Linked DNA regions of Saccharomyces cerevisiae S288C. The gene in region 1 interacts genetically with each later gene. Each region holds a gene or a part of one and is shown in the gene's direction. Other genes may lie near its edges.

What was found.
Region 2: mutations in PHM8 (region 1) and GYL1 together harm fitness more than expected from each alone (negative genetic interaction), as found in Saccharomyces cerevisiae (2 studies listed by BioGRID).
Region 3: mutations in PHM8 (region 1) and YPC1 together harm fitness more than expected from each alone (negative genetic interaction), as found in Saccharomyces cerevisiae (one large-scale study listed by BioGRID).
Region 4: mutations in PHM8 (region 1) and CCT6 together harm fitness more than expected from each alone (negative genetic interaction), as found in Saccharomyces cerevisiae (one large-scale study listed by BioGRID).

Annotation. Positions count from the first base shown.
Region 1 is NC_001137.3:223,501-227,354, forward strand, and holds PHM8 (bifunctional nucleotidase/lysophosphatidic acid phosphatase), read left to right. Parts: upstream 1-2,388; coding exon 2,389-3,354; downstream 3,355-3,854. Other genes in the region: ATP-binding cassette family ATPase ARB1, read right to left, coding at 1-1,699; Smc5-Smc6 complex subunit KRE29, read right to left, coding at 3,358-3,854. UniProt on the Saccharomyces cerevisiae protein: May be involved in phosphate metabolism.
Region 2 is NC_001145.3:645,329-650,420, forward strand, and holds GYL1 (Gyl1p), read left to right. Parts: upstream 1-1,789; coding exon 1,790-3,952; downstream 3,953-5,092. Other genes in the region: SPG5 (Spg5p), read left to right, coding at 328-1,449; mitochondrial 54S ribosomal protein bL28m MRPL24, read left to right, coding at 4,708-5,092. UniProt on the Saccharomyces cerevisiae protein: Probable GTPase-activating protein which stimulates the GTP hydrolysis rate by GYP5 of YPT1 and SEC4. Involved in ER to Golgi trafficking and polarized exocytosis.
Region 3 is NC_001134.8:594,091-598,101, forward strand, and holds YPC1 (phytoceramidase), read left to right. Parts: upstream 1-2,024; coding exon 2,025-2,975; downstream 2,976-4,011. Other genes in the region: SMP1 (Smp1p), read right to left, coding at 1-774; YBR182C-A (uncharacterized protein), read right to left, coding at 1,271-1,465; YBR184W (uncharacterized protein), read left to right, coding at 3,273-4,011. UniProt on the Saccharomyces cerevisiae protein: Alkaline ceramidase that hydrolyzes phytoceramide and also dihydroceramide into phytosphingosine or dihydrosphingosine. Prefers phytoceramide.
Region 4 is NC_001136.10:834,463-839,256, forward strand, and holds CCT6 (chaperonin-containing T-complex subunit CCT6), read left to right. Parts: upstream 1-1,958; coding exon 1,959-3,599; downstream 3,600-4,794. Other genes in the region: SND1 (Snd1p), read right to left, coding at 1-1,030; SLY1 (syntaxin-binding protein), read left to right, coding at 3,930-4,794. UniProt on the Saccharomyces cerevisiae protein: Molecular chaperone; assists the folding of proteins upon ATP hydrolysis. Known to play a role, in vitro, in the folding of actin and tubulin. In yeast may play a role in mitotic spindle formation.

The DNA of each region.
Region 1 (3,854 bases):
CGACGACACCACCGTTAAATTCGTTGATGGCGTCGGCCAAGGAGTCGATGGTTGGGATATCCAAACCATTGGTAGGTTCATCTAATAGTAGGACATTTGGTTGTTCTAAAGCTAATAAAGCAAAGACGACACGAGAACGTTGACCTTCTGACAAGGTAGCCATTTGAACGGTTTGACCTTCCCCGGTTAGCCCGTAGCGACCTAGTTGGCCTCTCCAGAATTGGAAATCTTGTGAGATGTTAGAGTACTTGTCACGGACAAATTCTAAAGCAGATTTTGTCAAGTCCAGTTGATCTTGAGAGTGTTGCGAGTAGACACCCAACTTGACATGGGTATGTCTAGAAACACGGCCAGATTGTGGGGTCAATTCACCGGTCATAATCTTCAACAATGTGGATTTACCAACACCATTTGGTCCGACAAGGGCAATACGTGAGTCCATATCGACACCAAAGTTCAAATGTTCGTACAAGTTTTCGGATGGGTTGCTCTCATAATGAAATGAAATATCATCGAATGCTAAAACTGGTGGTGGCAATCTTTCCACTTGTGGGAATCTAAATGAGAAAACTTTGTCAGGGACGACAGGTTGGACTAAACCATCTGCTTCCATCTTGTCCAAAATTTTTTGTCTAGATTTAGCTTGTTTCACCAAGTTAGCATAAGTACCAGCAGATGCAATGAATTTTTTAATATGTTGGATTTCCTCTTGTTGTTTATTGTATTGTTTCATTTGATTGGTTTCCAATTCGGATCTTGTCTTGTGATAAGAATCATAGTTACCACCGTAAGCAGTTAGTTTTTGAGCTCTCATGTCAATCATATTGGTACAAACACCGTTCAAGAAATCTTGAGAGTGGGACACCAAAACTAAAGTTCTGTCAAATCTCTTCAAATATTCTTCTAACCAAACACAAGCTTCCAAATCCAGATGCGCAGTAGGATCATCCAACAATAATAGAGTTGGCTTAACGAAAAGAGCTTTTGCCAACGCAACACGCATTTTCCATCCACCAGACATATCTTTGGTTTTCTTCAAAATGGTCTTCTTGTTGAAACCTAGACCGATCAAAATGATAGCAGCTCTAGATTCAAAGGTGTCTGGATCCAAAGAGTCCATTCTTTCATATAGAGGCTCTAATAACTCGGACTCAGGACCATCTTCCAAGATAGTCTTTTCGACTAAGTCTTCTATTCTTTTCAATTCGTGTTGAGCTTCAGTGACAACGTAGTCCAAGGCCGACAATTCACTTGGTTCCGCAGGTTCGTCCAATAAATAAATATCAATATGCTCAGGAATAGGATATTCTCTAGTAGCAAGAGCCTTTAAGAATGTTGACTTACCACAACCATTTTCTCCCAGAAGACCATATCTACGGCCGTAGTTTAATTCTAAACCAGAATCTTGGATCAAAACTTTACCGTGGAACAGTAAAGAAACAGAAGATAGCTTGATATCACGGGAAGTCTCCAATGAACTCAAAACACCAGTGACAACACGATCTGAAAGACCATCCTTATCTTGTTGCAACTTCATCATCTTGATTTCTCTAGCGGCTGCATCTACCTCCGATTCTTCAGCAGCAGCCTCCTTTTTTCTACCTAGCTTTCTGATGGTTTTACCGGCAGCGGCTTTCTTAGCCTCTCTTTCAGCTTTCTTAGCATCTCTCTTGGCCTTTGACGCAGATACTGGTGGCATATTTGGTTCTGTCAAGTTACTGTTTGTAGCACTGAGGGGAAGAAAACAATTTTTGCAAGAAAAAAGTTAAGAAAGAAGAAGAAAAACTACACGGGCACTAACATGTTAAATATGATAATATTTTTTTTTATAAGAGAATCACTACCAAGTTACCTGAACTACGTCAAGGAAAAGCCATTAATTGAGATGAGGTGAACGAAGAAAAAAAAAAAGAAAAAAATTTTTATTTTTTTTTCCATCGGTCTCCCCCCTCACCTTTCTTTTTTCATTCGTTTAAAGTGAGATTAGGGTAATGCATTTCGTATTTAGTGAGTAAACGTCAAAGGTGATATAGGGGGTTTTTCTTTTTCCAGAAAAAGAAAGAAAAAAGCCGGCGGTCGCCGCCGGAGATGGTTGAGAAAAAAAGGGGGCAGCAACGTGCTTCACATACAAACCAAGTTCTTGGATCTGTACGATCGTTTCTGCGGGTTTTTCCGTATTTGCCGCAATACTGAAATGGCTCATTATTAGGAGATGTGCATATAATGTATATACATACATTTAGCATATGTAATACATTCGTACATGTATAGAAATATATGTTTATATATATATATATATATATATGTATATACGAACTCGGTTTAACGCATAGTTGGTAAAAGATTTAATGTAGATAAAAAACACATAAGTTTTATACGCACGTAATCATGACTATCGCTAAAGATTACAGAACAATTTATAGAAACCAAATCAAAAAGCAGATACGACTAAATCAGGAGCATTTGCAAAGCTTGACACATCTAGGCTCACAAATCAATTTCGAGGTGGATCCTCCCAAATTACCGGATCCGGATCCTGCTCGAAAAGTATTTTTCTTTGATATCGATAACACTTTGTACAGAAAATCTACGAAGGTACAATTGCTCATGCAACAATCATTATCAAATTTCTTTAAATACGAATTGGGGTTTGACGACGATGAGGCAGAACGCCTAATCGAATCGTATTATCAAGAATATGGATTATCCGTGAAAGGTTTAATAAAGAATAAACAAATTGATGACGTCCTACAATATAATACATTCATCGATGATTCCTTACCTTTGCAAGACTATTTAAAGCCTGATTGGAAGTTAAGGGAGCTGCTGATCAATTTAAAGAAAAAGAAGCTCGGCAAATTTGACAAACTATGGCTGTTTACAAACTCGTACAAAAATCATGCCATCAGATGTGTTAAAATATTAGGTATTGCTGATCTATTTGACGGCATAACCTATTGCCACTACGACAGACCCATCGAGGAAGAATTCATTTGCAAGCCAGATCCAAAATTCTTCGAAACAGCTAAATTGCAAAGTGGGTTGTCGAGCTTTGCAAATGCCTGGTTTATTGATGACAACGAAAGCAATGTGCGGAGCGCGTTGAGCATGGGGATGGGCCATGTTATCCATTTGATAGAGGATTACCAATATGAGTCAGAAAATATTGTTACTAAGGACCACAAAAATAAGCAACAATTTTCCATATTGAAAGATATCCTTGAGATTCCATTGATAATGGACGTTGAAGTTTACCGTCCATCCTCTATTGCCATAAAGGAAATGGAAGAGTTGGAAGAGGAAGGGGAAGCAGTCAACTGGTCAAATCAACAGATCAATGTTCAGTCATCATGACTGTTACCTGATTTTAGAAAACAAATTTAATATTCCCTTCAGGATAGAAATTTCAACATCATTTGTCGTTTCATTAGAAATATCCAAAATACAATCTTTGAAATATTCTGTTACTTGACATTTGGGACCAAAAGGAATAAATTTCGAGCCATACATCGTTAAAATAAAATATAGTAGATTTTTATAGTTTTTACAATCAAAAAATTCGTTAAACTCTTTGATTATATTTTGCTGTATAGTTTCAGTCCGACCTTGCTTTTCACTAAAGCGTCTCCTGAGCAAGGCGCTTTGTAAATGAGGGAAGATTTGTAGTAGCCTATAATGTAAAAAAAAGTCGTTCTTGTCCACAATTTCGAAATATGAATTTATGAAATGTGCCTCATTAAATAATTCCAGGACCTTAAAACACAGTCTATGGTCCGATTCCATAGCGTTAAAAACCTTTCTATCCAAGATTAAACATATGAAGGCTTTCAGAAAGAATTCTCTAACATCATCAT
Region 2 (5,092 bases), on another chromosome or scaffold:
TAGCCAATGACTCCAAGCTGGCTGATAAAAACAAACTAAACGGTAAAGCCACAAATCCGAAATGTATCACCAATGATCACCCAGCCTGCTAAGTGCCCTCTATTGATCCGTATATCAGCTTTTAGATCAGGCTCGAGTTTCTTGTTATATGTGCATTGCAAAAGCATAAACAAATCCTGGCAGCCGAAGCCGGGCAATCCACTTCGAAACGCACGGCTGAACTATATAAATATAAAGGACATGTGGAGAGAAGCTTCTCTTCCTTCACATTTCGCATTTCATGATCTAAAGTGGTTCTTTCACAATAGAAGAGCACCAACACGAAATATGGCTGTCGGTGGTAATAACTGGAGCATGTGGCTGCGAATGTCACGGGTCCACCTCAGGCAGATCACGAAGTCTCTGGACCGAACGCTGATCAGTTTGAGCCATGGGAATTTTTCCCACCAATATAATCGCAATATTTTTGTCACTTGGTGGAAGAGCCTATTTGAGGCTTCTACAGCTTTTAGGAGGGCAAGTGGTTTAACGGTATCTCCTCTCACGAGGAGAGGAATCGCAAGGTTTGACCATTTCAGACCTGTTCCCAATGTCAGTAAATTTGCTTCTTTTCCCAGAGTGCCCAAAGGAGCCCCAAGGGGCCTTTTTACCAACTGGAATATGACTACATCAAAGAGATTATTAGGGCAGAGAGCTTATTCGACTTCCAGTATCAAATTTACCCAAGAAGCCGTGAATAACATGACTATATCTTTGAGGTGTTTTTTCAACTCACTAGGCGGATTAAATCAGTGCTCCCACTCTAATTCCTGCAAAGCTTATCAGAATGCGTCTAATGTTACCTCTAAACAGGATCACGTCCAACCAGTTGCCCTTAAGAAGTTATCTCAAAAGGATATCAATTTCATTCGTAATTTAGAACTATTTAAGATAATGAAGACCCAGAATGAAGTCGTTGATGAAACAAGCGCATATTACATGGAAAAACCAGGTTCCTATATTGAATTTACCATTTCAGAATTTAACGTTAATGGGACATTCTCCGCACCTTTGTCATTTTTAGATCCTTCTTTGTTAGCGGATTTGGATGAAATGATTAGAAATTACAAATACGAATTAAAATCAATATACAGTAGTGTTGACATGATCTTGCAGAATTATGGATCATTGCCGATAACTTTTCATCGAAATAAGATTCGAATACATTTTCCAAACTCAACTGTGGTGGAAACAGAAAAACTAATTGCAGGTCTGAATATTGCTACGGGTGTTATTTACGCAGATACGTCTCCCGATATCAGTCTAGAAGGTACAAATTTGAATGCTCTGGTTAATGTTGACAATTCAGGAAGCGTATGGTCTTTTGTTAAGGAGCCCTCGTTTCCCTCTAGGAGCGCTTTTTCACCTATTTTATCAGATGCATCCTATGATACTTATGAATTGGTCTAGCAAAGACGTTGTTTCATCGCGCTATTACCAAGAAGGTTACTTTACTTGTTCTTGCACATGGACGCACGTTGTGTGTTCATATATATATATATATATATATATATATATTTGTGCTTGTTTTCATTGTCTCTATAGTTAATACATTCTATTTTTATCGTTATATTTGCATTCTCTTCGCATAAAAACTTCATGAAAATTCGGCAGAAAATAAGCCATATATGTACTTTATCCATAGGCAAAGAAAAGCACTTAACGAGAATATACAACAATTGCACTAGTACTGCATGTATATACTCTTATGATTATAGCGGCAAGAAAACAAATATAAACACACTAACAGATGAATTCGAATGAAGATATACATGAAGAACGCATTGAAGTTCCACGAACTCCCCATCAAACCCAGCCAGAGAAAGACTCTGATCGCATCGCTCTCAGGGATGAAATATCAGTACCAGAAGGCGATGAAAAAGCATATTCGGATGAGAAAGTAGAAATGGCAACCACAAATGCATCCAGTAACTTTGGCTCAAATGAAAGTGCAAAAGACGGCGAATCAATCGGCGCCTTTTCAAATCCCCATGAGGCTCTGATGCAGTCAAAATTGAGAGAAGAATCCCAGAGTAAAACCATACTACCATCCGATGACCTCAGCCAGCAATTAGAAACCGAAGAATCCAAAGTTGAAGAGGCTCTAAAAAGAATAACCTCACCCCCATTACCACCGAGGGCTGACTGCATAGAAGAATCTGCATCTGCTCTTAAATCCTCATTGCCTCCAGTGCTAGCAGGAAATAAAAATGATCAAGCCCCCCTTGACCGACCACAGTTACCTCCGAGGCAGGTAGTTAATGCGGAAACTCTTCATTTGAAGGCGCCCCATGGTAATGCGACTCCCTCCAAATCACCAACGAGTGCTGTAGGTAATTCTTCTTCATCGACCCCTCCAACCTTACCACCACGCCGTATAGAAGATCCTTTAGACTTGGCTGCTCAAAAACATTTCCTAGCGAGTACATTTAAGAGAAATATGCTCTTTTATAAAAGTGAAGATAACTCTATCAAATGTGATTTGGATAAAAATATACTAAATTTAAAAGAAGATTCAAAAAAAATTAACAACAATGAAATTCCTGAAGAGGTTAGTTCATTTTGGTTAAAGGTTATCGGCGACTATCAAAATATCTTAATAAACGATATCGAAACCTTACATTTCCAACTATCTCGAGGTATACCAGCCGCTTATCGATTGGTAGTCTGGCAGTTAGTAAGTTATGCAAAATCGAAATCCTTTGACCCTATATATGAAACGTATCTAACGGAAATGGCACCTTTTGACGTCCAGGAATTTGAAAATCAGCTAAAAATGATGGACGAAGTTCCCTCTGAATACGTAAAACGCATAAGTAATGTGTTAAAGGCTTATTTACTTTTTGACCCAGAGTGTGAGTTTTCTACCGACATTGCTTATATTATCAATATGATTCTTGACGTTTGCGAGGAGGAGGCAAATGCATTTGGTCTACTTGTACGCCTAATGAAAGTTTACGGTTTAAGACTCTTGTTCTTACCAAGTGCTTCTGAGATCGATATTCTTTGCTATAAATTTGATAGACTTGTAGAAGAATTTTATCCTGAAATTCACAACCACATGGTTGAAAAAGGCGTCCGTTCTTCCATGTTTTTGCCCGGTTTCTTCACGACACTGTTTCAAAAGAAACTTCCCACTGAAATTCAACCACGTATCGGTGATATGGTATTTTTAGAAGGTATTGACTCTATTATGAGAATTTTAGCCACACTTTTATCTAATTCCCGAGACCATCTGTTAAAAATGGGTTTTGATGATATGCTGGAGCTATTGAAATCAGGTCTGTTAGATGCTTATATTAAGCAGAATGATGGTACACGCGGTGACACTCTTCTCTCAAATGAATGTATGGATAAATTACTACAAGACTCTATGATGAAAGTAGCAATAACCCCAAAGACTATGAAGAAATATTCTTCTGAATATGAGGAAATTCACAGATTGGACAATGAAAAAGAAGTGCAATATAAGTCTATCACGGAAAAAAATTTACATTTACAAAAGCATGTTCGTAAATTAGAAAACGACTACACATCTTTAAATAGAGAGCATGTGACAATTGCGAACGAGTTAGTGAAAAATCGGCTTAATATCGAGTCTGTATTAAATGAAAATAATGGTTACAAACTTCAAATTTTAGATTTGAAGAAAAAGTTGGATTCAGAAAAAAAGAAGCAAGTTTTAGGTGTATATGTGCCCAATGATTTAAAGAAAGATTTGGAAGAGACAATGAAAAAGAATACCCAAGTAATGGACGAAAATTTGAAATTGCAGGATAGGATTTCAGAACTAGAAAGGCTTATTGAAGAAATAAAAACTGCAAACAAAAATGGTACGTTATTCGAATATTCTAATTCTAAAAATAATCCTTTGGGAGCCGGCTGGTCAGGATTTAAAAAGGTTTTTAAATAGTTAAACTGTGTATATCAGCTACTGCTCCCCTTGAATGATACATGACTAAATATAATGATAAATTTATTTCTTGATTTTTGATTATTTCATATTTTGTTGACATTTGAGAGCTTCAATTGTATAAAGTTGCAAGATAATATATGAGGTTAGGGAAGCCGGATAAAGAAAATAGAGTACTTTAAAACTGTTCATGGACTAAGAATTCAGTGACGATGAAGTAGTAAAGGAGAGTGTTTAGGATATAAATAAGACCGAGAAATTGTTAGTAAGCATTACTTCTAGCAGAAATAATGAACCACAATCGTGACAATATATACTCGAGTTAGCAGTTAACAGTAACCCTTTCCATACCATTCTAAACTTTGCAACAGTAAATATCTTGGCGTTTAACGTTTTATTTTATTCTACGTTTCTCAAATATCGGCTGTACTCATGTGGCACATCATGAAAAGAGCCTTCATATCAAGAATTCAAGAATTTTAATTACATCGTGACAACGGTTTCCTAAACTTTTAGTAAAAACAATTAAATGTGCAATTTTGTTGATTATACTGTGGACAAATTGAGCTTAGTACGTTTCCTTCTTCTCTTTCTGCAATTATATTTAATTAAATAATCTCGTATTCTCGCATCCGGGCACGCTTTGTGAAATTCATTTGAGAAACCAAAAACAGCTGATCAGCTAGAGCTATTAGAAGTTAGTGCCCAGGGGTATAGAAAAATCAGTTTAAGGAAGAAAAAGCTCACAGAAGAATATGCAAAAAATTTTCAGACCATTCCAATTAACGAGAGGCTTTACCTCTTCCGTAAAAAACTTCAGGCAATGGAGACTGATTGAAACAAGGAAGATTGCCAAACAACCGAACTACCAAGTTGGTGATGCTAAACCTTTACATATGCCAAAAGAAAGAAAGAAATTTCCAGATTACAAGTATGGGGAATCTAATATCTTCAAACAGAGTAACAAAGGTCTATATGGTGGATCTTTCGTTCAGTTTGGTAACAATATTTCTGAAAGTAAAGCCAAAACGAGGAAGAAGTGGTTGCCAAATGTTGTCAAAAAAGGTCTCTGGAGTGAGACTCTGAACAGAAAAATCAGTATCAAAATGACCGCTAAAGTTTTAAAAACAATCAGTAAAG
Region 3 (4,011 bases), on another chromosome or scaffold:
TGGAATATTGCCCACTAAACTTGCAGGCAATGAAGGCTTTGGCAAATTCTCGTAAGGCGACGGGTAAAAATTATGATAATTAGAGTGGTTAGATTCAGAAAGTAGTAAATGAGTATCCGGCCTAATCCTCTTGTTCATAAAATTCCTATGAATAGCCTCGTTTGCAACATGCTGTTGGTCTACGCTTTCTTTATAATCATTAGCATGAAAACTCCCACCAGAATTTAAACCGCCTTGCAACATTTGATAATCTGCACTATTTCTTGCACAGTCAGAATGATTGGATCCGCTACGTGATATTGCTCCGTGGCAATGCACCAATGGTGTACTTACACCAGCGTTCCCGGCGTCATTTGACGCCAACGGAGCGCTTAAATTCCCATTGTTTTGTACACTGGAGGAATCTTGACTCGAAACTGTACAACTCCCAGAATGGGAAGCTGGTTGCAACACGGTTGCTCTTCTTCGCCTGCGCTTCCTTTCATTCAGAACAACACGTGGTTTTTTCACATAGTCACCATAATCAGATGGTTCTATGATATTATGAGGAAGATCAGTGTTGTTTTGATGAACATTAAGCAGGTTACTCATATCAACAGAAGAGTATTCGTAGAATGTATTATTGGATCCTAAAATAATGACAGCAATGTCTACTTGGCAAAGTACTGACAATTCATGAGCCTTTTTAAATAGTCCTGCTTTTCGCTTTATGAAAGTAACTGTACGATTTCTATCATCTTTGATAGGTTCAATTTCAATTTTTCTTCTACCCATTTAGCAGAAATTTTTTTGAAAATAATTGTGTTTGCTTATCTAGAGCTTTATTAAATTTTTTTCTGATGAGATAGGCCTGCTCGAAAAAATAGTCTGTCTTTGAATTTGGCTCGTATATTTCTCCCTTCGAATGAATGATAAAGAAAGACTCAAAGGAATGATGTAGTGTTATATAGATTGGCTAAAATAATTTGGCAAAAGAAAGATGGATAAGGATAGTTCATGTTTTTGAGTCCTTCACGAACATAGGAAGCCGGGTATGCGTGGAGATTTAAGTTTTGCCAAGCCTCCAATTACTCGAGCGAGATTATTTTTGCAGAAGAAACAAAGACGCCGCTTGTTACTAAAAAAAGAAGGCAACAATAATGCAAAAAGTTCGAACCAACTGTACCTCAAGCCGTTTTGTAAGCCACTATCATCGGGAACGGTACAGGTAGAATGATAGATGAAATTTACGTAAGCGTTAATGGAAAACAATAACGATGTGGTGTAAAAGCTAGTGCGTAGTGTGAGTGCCACTAGTTTTCTTTGACAGCTTAAGAGCAAGCTTTTGGAGCTCACAATCAAGTGAAACAAGAATTATGTTCATTTTCTCCTTCGGAACTGCAGAATAAAAATTCTTTATACTATAAACACCGCCATTATCAAAAAAGTATTGCTGAATCATGGTATACAGCGTGAAAATCTTCATGGCATTTCTACAAATTCTTTTTAGTTAGTATCGCCAACCATTAACCTTTTTAGTAATGCTGACGTTAAACGAAGGCGAAAAAAAATACTTGGCAACACCATCGTTTATATTTTTTTCAAATGGAAGTGTCGGCCGACGTAGCATAGCAGGAAAGATTCAAAGGCAAGGGTTTCACATAACGTTACCCTTCTGACCACGCCCCTTCTTTCGATCCCACTAGTGCGGACGGATTATCACGCAAGTTTTTTAACGCGAGACATCGGAAAATATTTATGCCGATTAGATCCGGCCCCTGAAACTTTTTGTTTGATACTTTCAAACGCACTACTCTACCCCATGACATAAAAAATATCTGTCTCCGGTTATATATGTCTAAATAGAATTCGGGTAGCATTTTATTTTTATCGCTTATAGGAAAAAGATATTTGCATATATATATCTATATATCCTATATACATCTATATAGTTATTGTGTAAGGGGTTTTTATAAGGTCCGATACTTACAGAGATTAATTTGTAAATAAAAGCAGAAATCTTTATTTAAGAAAATAGAAGATTGATGGGAATATTTCGTTGGAACTATCCAGAGAGTTCTGTCCCCGGCGTTTGGGGAGAAACAACTTCCACTATTGACTGGTGTGAGGAGAACTATGTCGTTTCTCCCTATATTGCCGAGTGGTCAAACACTTTAACTAACAGCGTATTCATACTGTCAGCGATTTACACAACTTACTCTGCTTACAAGAATAAATTAGAAAAAAGGTTTTTACTTATTGGCTTCGGGTACGGTTTGGTCGGAGTAGGATCATGGCTATTTCATATGACACTGAAGTATAGATTCCAACTATTGGATGAACTTCCAATGATATACGCCATGTGCATTCCGACATGGAGTTTAGTATGCGAGGCCAAAGAGGCATTACTTAACGGAGATAATCACAAGAAGGTTCCTCTATTTGAACAGATATTCATCGGCGTAATTATCGGCCTGGCCGTTACAACAGCAAGCATACTCTACGTTATTTACAAAAATGTCGATATCCATCAAATTTTGTTTGGCGTACAGATTGTAGTTGTGGCTGCTACTGCAGGAAGTTTGACGTACAGATACGTCCATGATCCACTTGCCAAAAGAAATCTCAAGGCTTCAATGGCGCTCGGCGCAATTTTGTTCTTATCTGGCTACATTTCGTGGCTACTTGATATACACTATTGTTCGTTCTGGGTGCACGTTAGAAGAAGTATTTTGGCTTTACCACTTGGTGTACTGCTTGAACCACACGGATGGTGGCATATATTAACTGGTATGGGGATTTATTTCTACATTGTTTCTTTGGAACATTTAAGGGTCATTACGCTCAACGTCAGCTGCAATTACCAGTTCATCTGGAGATGGAAAGTCTTCCCTGAACTGATATGGAAAGGGCGCAAACCCTCAACAAGATATTCACTTGAACTATTTGGCCCATACGTAGAAGATCAATCAATTGAAGTTAAAAAGGAGAAGTAATAATTATAGCATAATATATATTCATAATGTATAGGCATATTTATTTTTTATTTTTTTTATTTCATGTTCTATTTAATGACGAATCACGAAGAAAATATATCTAAGAAAAGATCTTTTGAATCCTTGATTTGCGAATAGTTTAAATGACCCAGCTTATTGCTCTGGTGAAAAAAAACTTTGTGCGGTCTCAAAGCCGTCGGCGGCAAAATAACGTGAATTGATGAAAGTAAATAAACAAAACAAAATCTCTAATTGTTGTAACACAAATACTAAGAAATTTGTTAGCTAATTCGGGACATGTACCAAAATAATGTATTGAATGCTATTTTGGCTTCTGAAAAATCAAACTTTCAATACGATAGTGGAACAATATTAAGAAACCACAAAAGACCAATAATAACATTTAATAACAACATAGAGCACACAGTATCCGAACCTAATAATTTTACAGGCTATGAGGAAAAGGAAGATTTGGATATAATGGATATTTGTCCTTATTACCCAAAAGCAAGAATGCTGGCGGATGCCATTCAACATGCCAAAACGAGCGCAAGTGAAAACAAAATGGAACTATCAATGAAAACTATCCCATGTCTCAAGAAGGAAAACGTCCATGTTGAGAAAGGGCACGATTGGTCTCAACTCAGTACGAGCAGAATTTGTAAAATTTTAGAAGACATAGCAGATAAAAAAAATAAAACTAGAAGGCAATCTGCCCCATTACAAAAGACGAAGTATTTCCCAACAAATGAGAATCAAAATACCGATATAGAAAATCAGAATTGGTCCCAAATCCCCAATGAAGACATATGTGCACTTATAGAGAAGATTGCTAGCAGACGCAATAAAAATCGCAAACGGAAAAATCTTTCATGTTCTAAAGTCCAAGAAATTCAGGGAAATATTGATTTACCCAAAAAAGACGTACAAGAGGGAGATATTTCAGATTCGTCTCTATTTGCAGCAGTAAGAGGAACCAAAAAAGTTTCCGGATATGATTACAATTCAGAAGATAAGATACCTAATGCGATACGTC
Region 4 (4,794 bases), on another chromosome or scaffold:
TATGTGCCCTGTTGGATTTTCTGTTGATAGACAACGACCTAATTCTGACGGACTTGTCTTTATTGGAGGTTAAAACCGAGTTTTGAAAATTCAACAACGACGAAGAGTTTCTTTTCAAACTTGTGTTGCTCTGGTCGTCGCCCTTATCTTCGTTAACAGCATCTGAATATTCATGTAGCGCTTTTATTGATTCCTGGGAGATAAGGCTGGTGAGAGGGTGGTCTGACAACAAAGTCAGCAGTGCTTTTACCCCCGTGCTATTCGTGACAATAACTATGGAATCCAAGACAGTCTGGTCTTGCATGCTACCATTGCTCTGGTTTGAGCCGGTGAATTTCTCGTTCAACTTGGTGTAGTACTCTTTGAACGGGAGTGACTTGGAGTTCTGGATTGTCTTAGTGAAAGAACCAATATTCTGCCAATTAATGATTTTTAAATTAAGCAGTTCTGCGTTCAGGAAAGTAGAAAACCACTTGAGAGAGGTGGGAGAAACGTTGATCTGGAAACATAGGTTTAGTTTCTTTTGAACATACAAGTCTTTGAAAGAATTAAACAATTTTTCAACCAAAAATCTTATGGTCTCCACGTAACGTAAAGACCCCGAAGACGACACCAGTACATTCAGATCAAACTTGTTTTCCGGTGTGCTGCGAGAGCTGATCAGACTTTTCAACTCCTCCCAAAACTTATCGTTATCTTCCGCAGTAGATGTGTTGGAAAAACTTTGCGCGATCGAATTTCTAAGCCGATGCAGCTTAAACCGTTTATTCAGTCTGGAAAGCTTGTTATGAGTCATCTCATCGTTGTAGTAGTCGATCGTAGGGATATCTATGTAAAGTAGGATGTTAAGCTTCTTTAGCGAAGGGTACCGGTCCGCCAAAGACGCTTGTACCACTGTCTGCTGCATGTTGGAGTAAGTGATCAGAAACAGCGAGTCCTGTGACTTCACACTAACTTTTGGTGAAGTGGACTGGGCAAAGCGACGCTCATTAATGCTCGCGGCTGCTGCGTCCGTACCGACAGTGTCCATCGTAGTGTAGGCTTCCCAAAATTTAGGATGTGATTAGTAATAGTGGTTGATTGCGAGCTCCGGGATGCGAGGGAGAGCGTGTATGTGTACTTCAAGTTCGCCAACTTCTCTCTTAAATAGAAAAAGAAAAGAAGAAAAAGGAAACGAAAAAAAAAAAAAGTAGGGAAAAGCTGAGTGATGAAGATCCGGGCTGCCAAGATTGGGTTTGAAACGTGTAGTCAGCTACAAACCAAAAATTAAAAGAACAATAGCAAAGAACCTTAGTAGGAAAACAATAAAATAATAGACACGACACCCGTAGAAAGATAGAACGGGACGAGGGGCCGGTTCAACAACTATCATACTTTCTTGTTCAACAACGCGATTAACCCAAATAATAAAAAAGCTACGAGACAAGAACAGACGAGGCAATACGAGCAACGAGCGCAACGAGAACGGTAAGCATGGCAACGGCGCGCACACCCACGCCCCGCAACCGCACACCTCAGCTCAAAGTAACCCACTTTAACGTGACTGGACCTGAGCTGTCTGACTCGGTCGTTTGCAAATAGGTTAACGCCGTCGCTTCTCCCTTTCGTGTACCGTATATCTTTCTTTAATTGCATTCCCTTGTTGTGATTATCGTTTCCCATTGCAGTGAGCTTTCATTTTGGGGACCCTGGGAGTAGGCTGTTTTTCGATAGAGTGAGAGGTGTGGGTTCTGCGGCAGAATGGATACGGGCCGTGGATCACTGTTTACGGGAGTTTTGCTTTGGTGGCAAAATTTTCGCTCGGTGATGTGTTAGTAGTTGTTATTCTGGTAAGAAACGAACGAAAGACGGAAAGGATTATGTATAACAGTGTATGTGTGCAGTGTGTGGAAAAGGTAAAGGTTAAGGGTGTGGAAGCAGTGAGAAGCAGAAGATTATAATATAAGTAGAGTAGAAGCATGTCATTGCAATTGTTGAATCCGAAGGCTGAATCGTTGAGAAGGGATGCGGCTTTGAAGGTTAACGTCACATCTGCTGAGGGCTTACAATCCGTCCTAGAGACCAACTTGGGCCCTAAGGGCACGCTAAAGATGCTTGTGGATGGTGCTGGTAACATCAAGCTGACCAAGGACGGTAAAGTGTTGCTGACCGAGATGCAGATCCAGTCGCCTACAGCGGTACTGATTGCTAGGGCAGCTGCCGCGCAGGATGAAATCACGGGCGATGGGACCACGACGGTTGTGTGTCTTGTGGGTGAATTGCTTAGACAAGCGCACCGTTTCATTCAAGAGGGCGTGCATCCGCGGATCATCACTGATGGGTTTGAGATTGCGCGGAAGGAGTCCATGAAATTTTTGGACGAATTCAAGATCAGTAAGACGAACCTTTCCAATGATAGAGAGTTCCTTCTGCAAGTGGCCCGGTCGTCGCTGCTAACCAAGGTGGACGCTGACTTGACGGAGGTCTTGACGCCCATTGTAACGGATGCGGTGCTAAGCGTGTACGACGCGCAGGCTGACAATTTGGATTTACACATGGTTGAGATCATGCAGATGCAGCACTTGTCTCCTAAAGATACCACTTTTATTAAGGGTTTGGTATTGGACCACGGTGGTAGGCATCCTGACATGCCCACCCGTGTGAAGAACGCGTATGTTTTGATTTTGAACGTATCTTTGGAATACGAGAAGACTGAAGTTAACTCTGGGTTCTTTTACAGTTCTGCGGACCAAAGGGACAAGTTGGCCGCTAGTGAGAGGAAGTTTGTGGATGCCAAGTTGAAGAAGATCATCGACTTGAAAAACGAAGTTTGTGGCATGGATCCAGACAAGGGTTTTGTTATCATTAACCAAAAAGGCATTGACCCCATGTCTTTAGACGTGTTTGCCAAACACAACATCTTGGCTTTGAGAAGGGCCAAGAGACGTAACATGGAAAGATTGCAATTGGTCACTGGCGGTGAAGCTCAGAACTCTGTGGAAGACTTGTCGCCTCAGATTCTTGGGTTTTCTGGCTTGGTCTACCAAGAAACCATAGGCGAGGAAAAATTCACATACGTTACAGAGAACACTGACCCCAAGTCTTGCACCATCTTAATCAAGGGCTCCACTCATTATGCCCTCGCTCAAACAAAGGATGCGGTGAGAGATGGTCTCAGAGCTGTGGCAAACGTTCTCAAGGACAAAAACATCATTCCAGGCGCTGGTGCGTTCTACATCGCCCTTTCGAGATACCTAAGATCTGCCAACATGAACAAGTTGGGTGCCAAGGGTAAAACAAAGACAGGTATTGAGGCGTTCGCAGAAGCATTGCTGGTAATTCCAAAGACTTTGGTGAAGAACTCAGGATTCGACCCATTGGACGTGCTCGCAATGGTGGAGGACGAGTTGGATGACGCTCAGGATTCTGACGAAACGAGATATGTTGGTGTGGACTTGAACATAGGTGATTCTTGCGACCCTACCATCGAGGGTATTTGGGATTCCTACCGCGTACTAAGAAATGCTATTACCGGTGCTACAGGTATTGCCAGCAACTTGTTATTATGCGATGAATTGTTAAGGGCAGGTAGATCCACTTTGAAAGAAACACCACAGTAATAAAAAATAATAATAATAATAATAATAACAAGAACACGAATACTAGTAGTAATAGTAGTCAGATACAAAAATTCTATGTAACATATTTTTTCCAGTCACTATCATCATCATCATATTTTGTATATATACATTTATTATATAAAATATCATACCAATTTTTGCCAAAGAACACCGTTTCCCTCTTCGCGTTGACCACAGTAATTGCAGAAACGACAAAAAAAAAACAAAAAAAAGAAGCACCATTCTAACTCAGCCTTTAATAACCTGACATGATAACTTATAATAGTCATTGCCAGTTGCTAAGTATCTTTGACCAAAAATCACAACATCATGGCTGTGGAGGAAATTGCGTCCCGCAAGGACATTAGTTTAAGAGATATGCAAATCTCTGCCATATTAAAAATGCTGTTTTTAAATAAGGATTTGAACAACAACGACAACATCACCACCATCACAGACGATATTTTTAACCAGCAGGAGATCATCTGGAAGGTGTTGATACTGGACATCAAGAGCACTGCTACCATATCTTCTGTTCTCAGAGTCAATGACCTGCTGAAAGCTGGTATCACCGTTCATTCCTTGATTAAACAAGACAGATCTCCCTTGCCAGATGTCCCTGCCATATATTTCGTCTCCCCCACAAAGGAAAACATTGACATTATAGTCAATGACTTGAAAAGCGACAAGTATTCTGAATTTTACATCAACTTTACCTCATCTCTGCCCAGAAACCTCCTGGAAGATTTGGCTCAACAAGTCTCCATCACGGGTAAATCTGATAAAATCAAACAAGTTTACGACCAATACCTGGACTTCATTGTAACTGAACCGGAACTGTTCTCACTAGAAATTTCAAACGCATACTTGACATTGAATGACCCGAAAACCACAGAAGAGGAAATCACGGGCTTATGCGCCAACATCGCGGACGGTTTATTCAACACTGTCTTAACGATCAATTCTATCCCCATTATAAGAGCAGCTAAGGGTGGGCCTGCTGAGATCATCGCTGAGAAACTGGGTACAAAATTACGTGATTTCGTCATCAATACCAATTCCTCCTCCACTTCCACTTTGCAGGGAAATGATTCTCTGGAAAGAGGAGTGTTGATTATTTTGGATAGAAACATAGATTTTGCCTCCATGTTTTCACATTCGTGGATTTATCAGTGCATGGTCTTTGATATTTTCA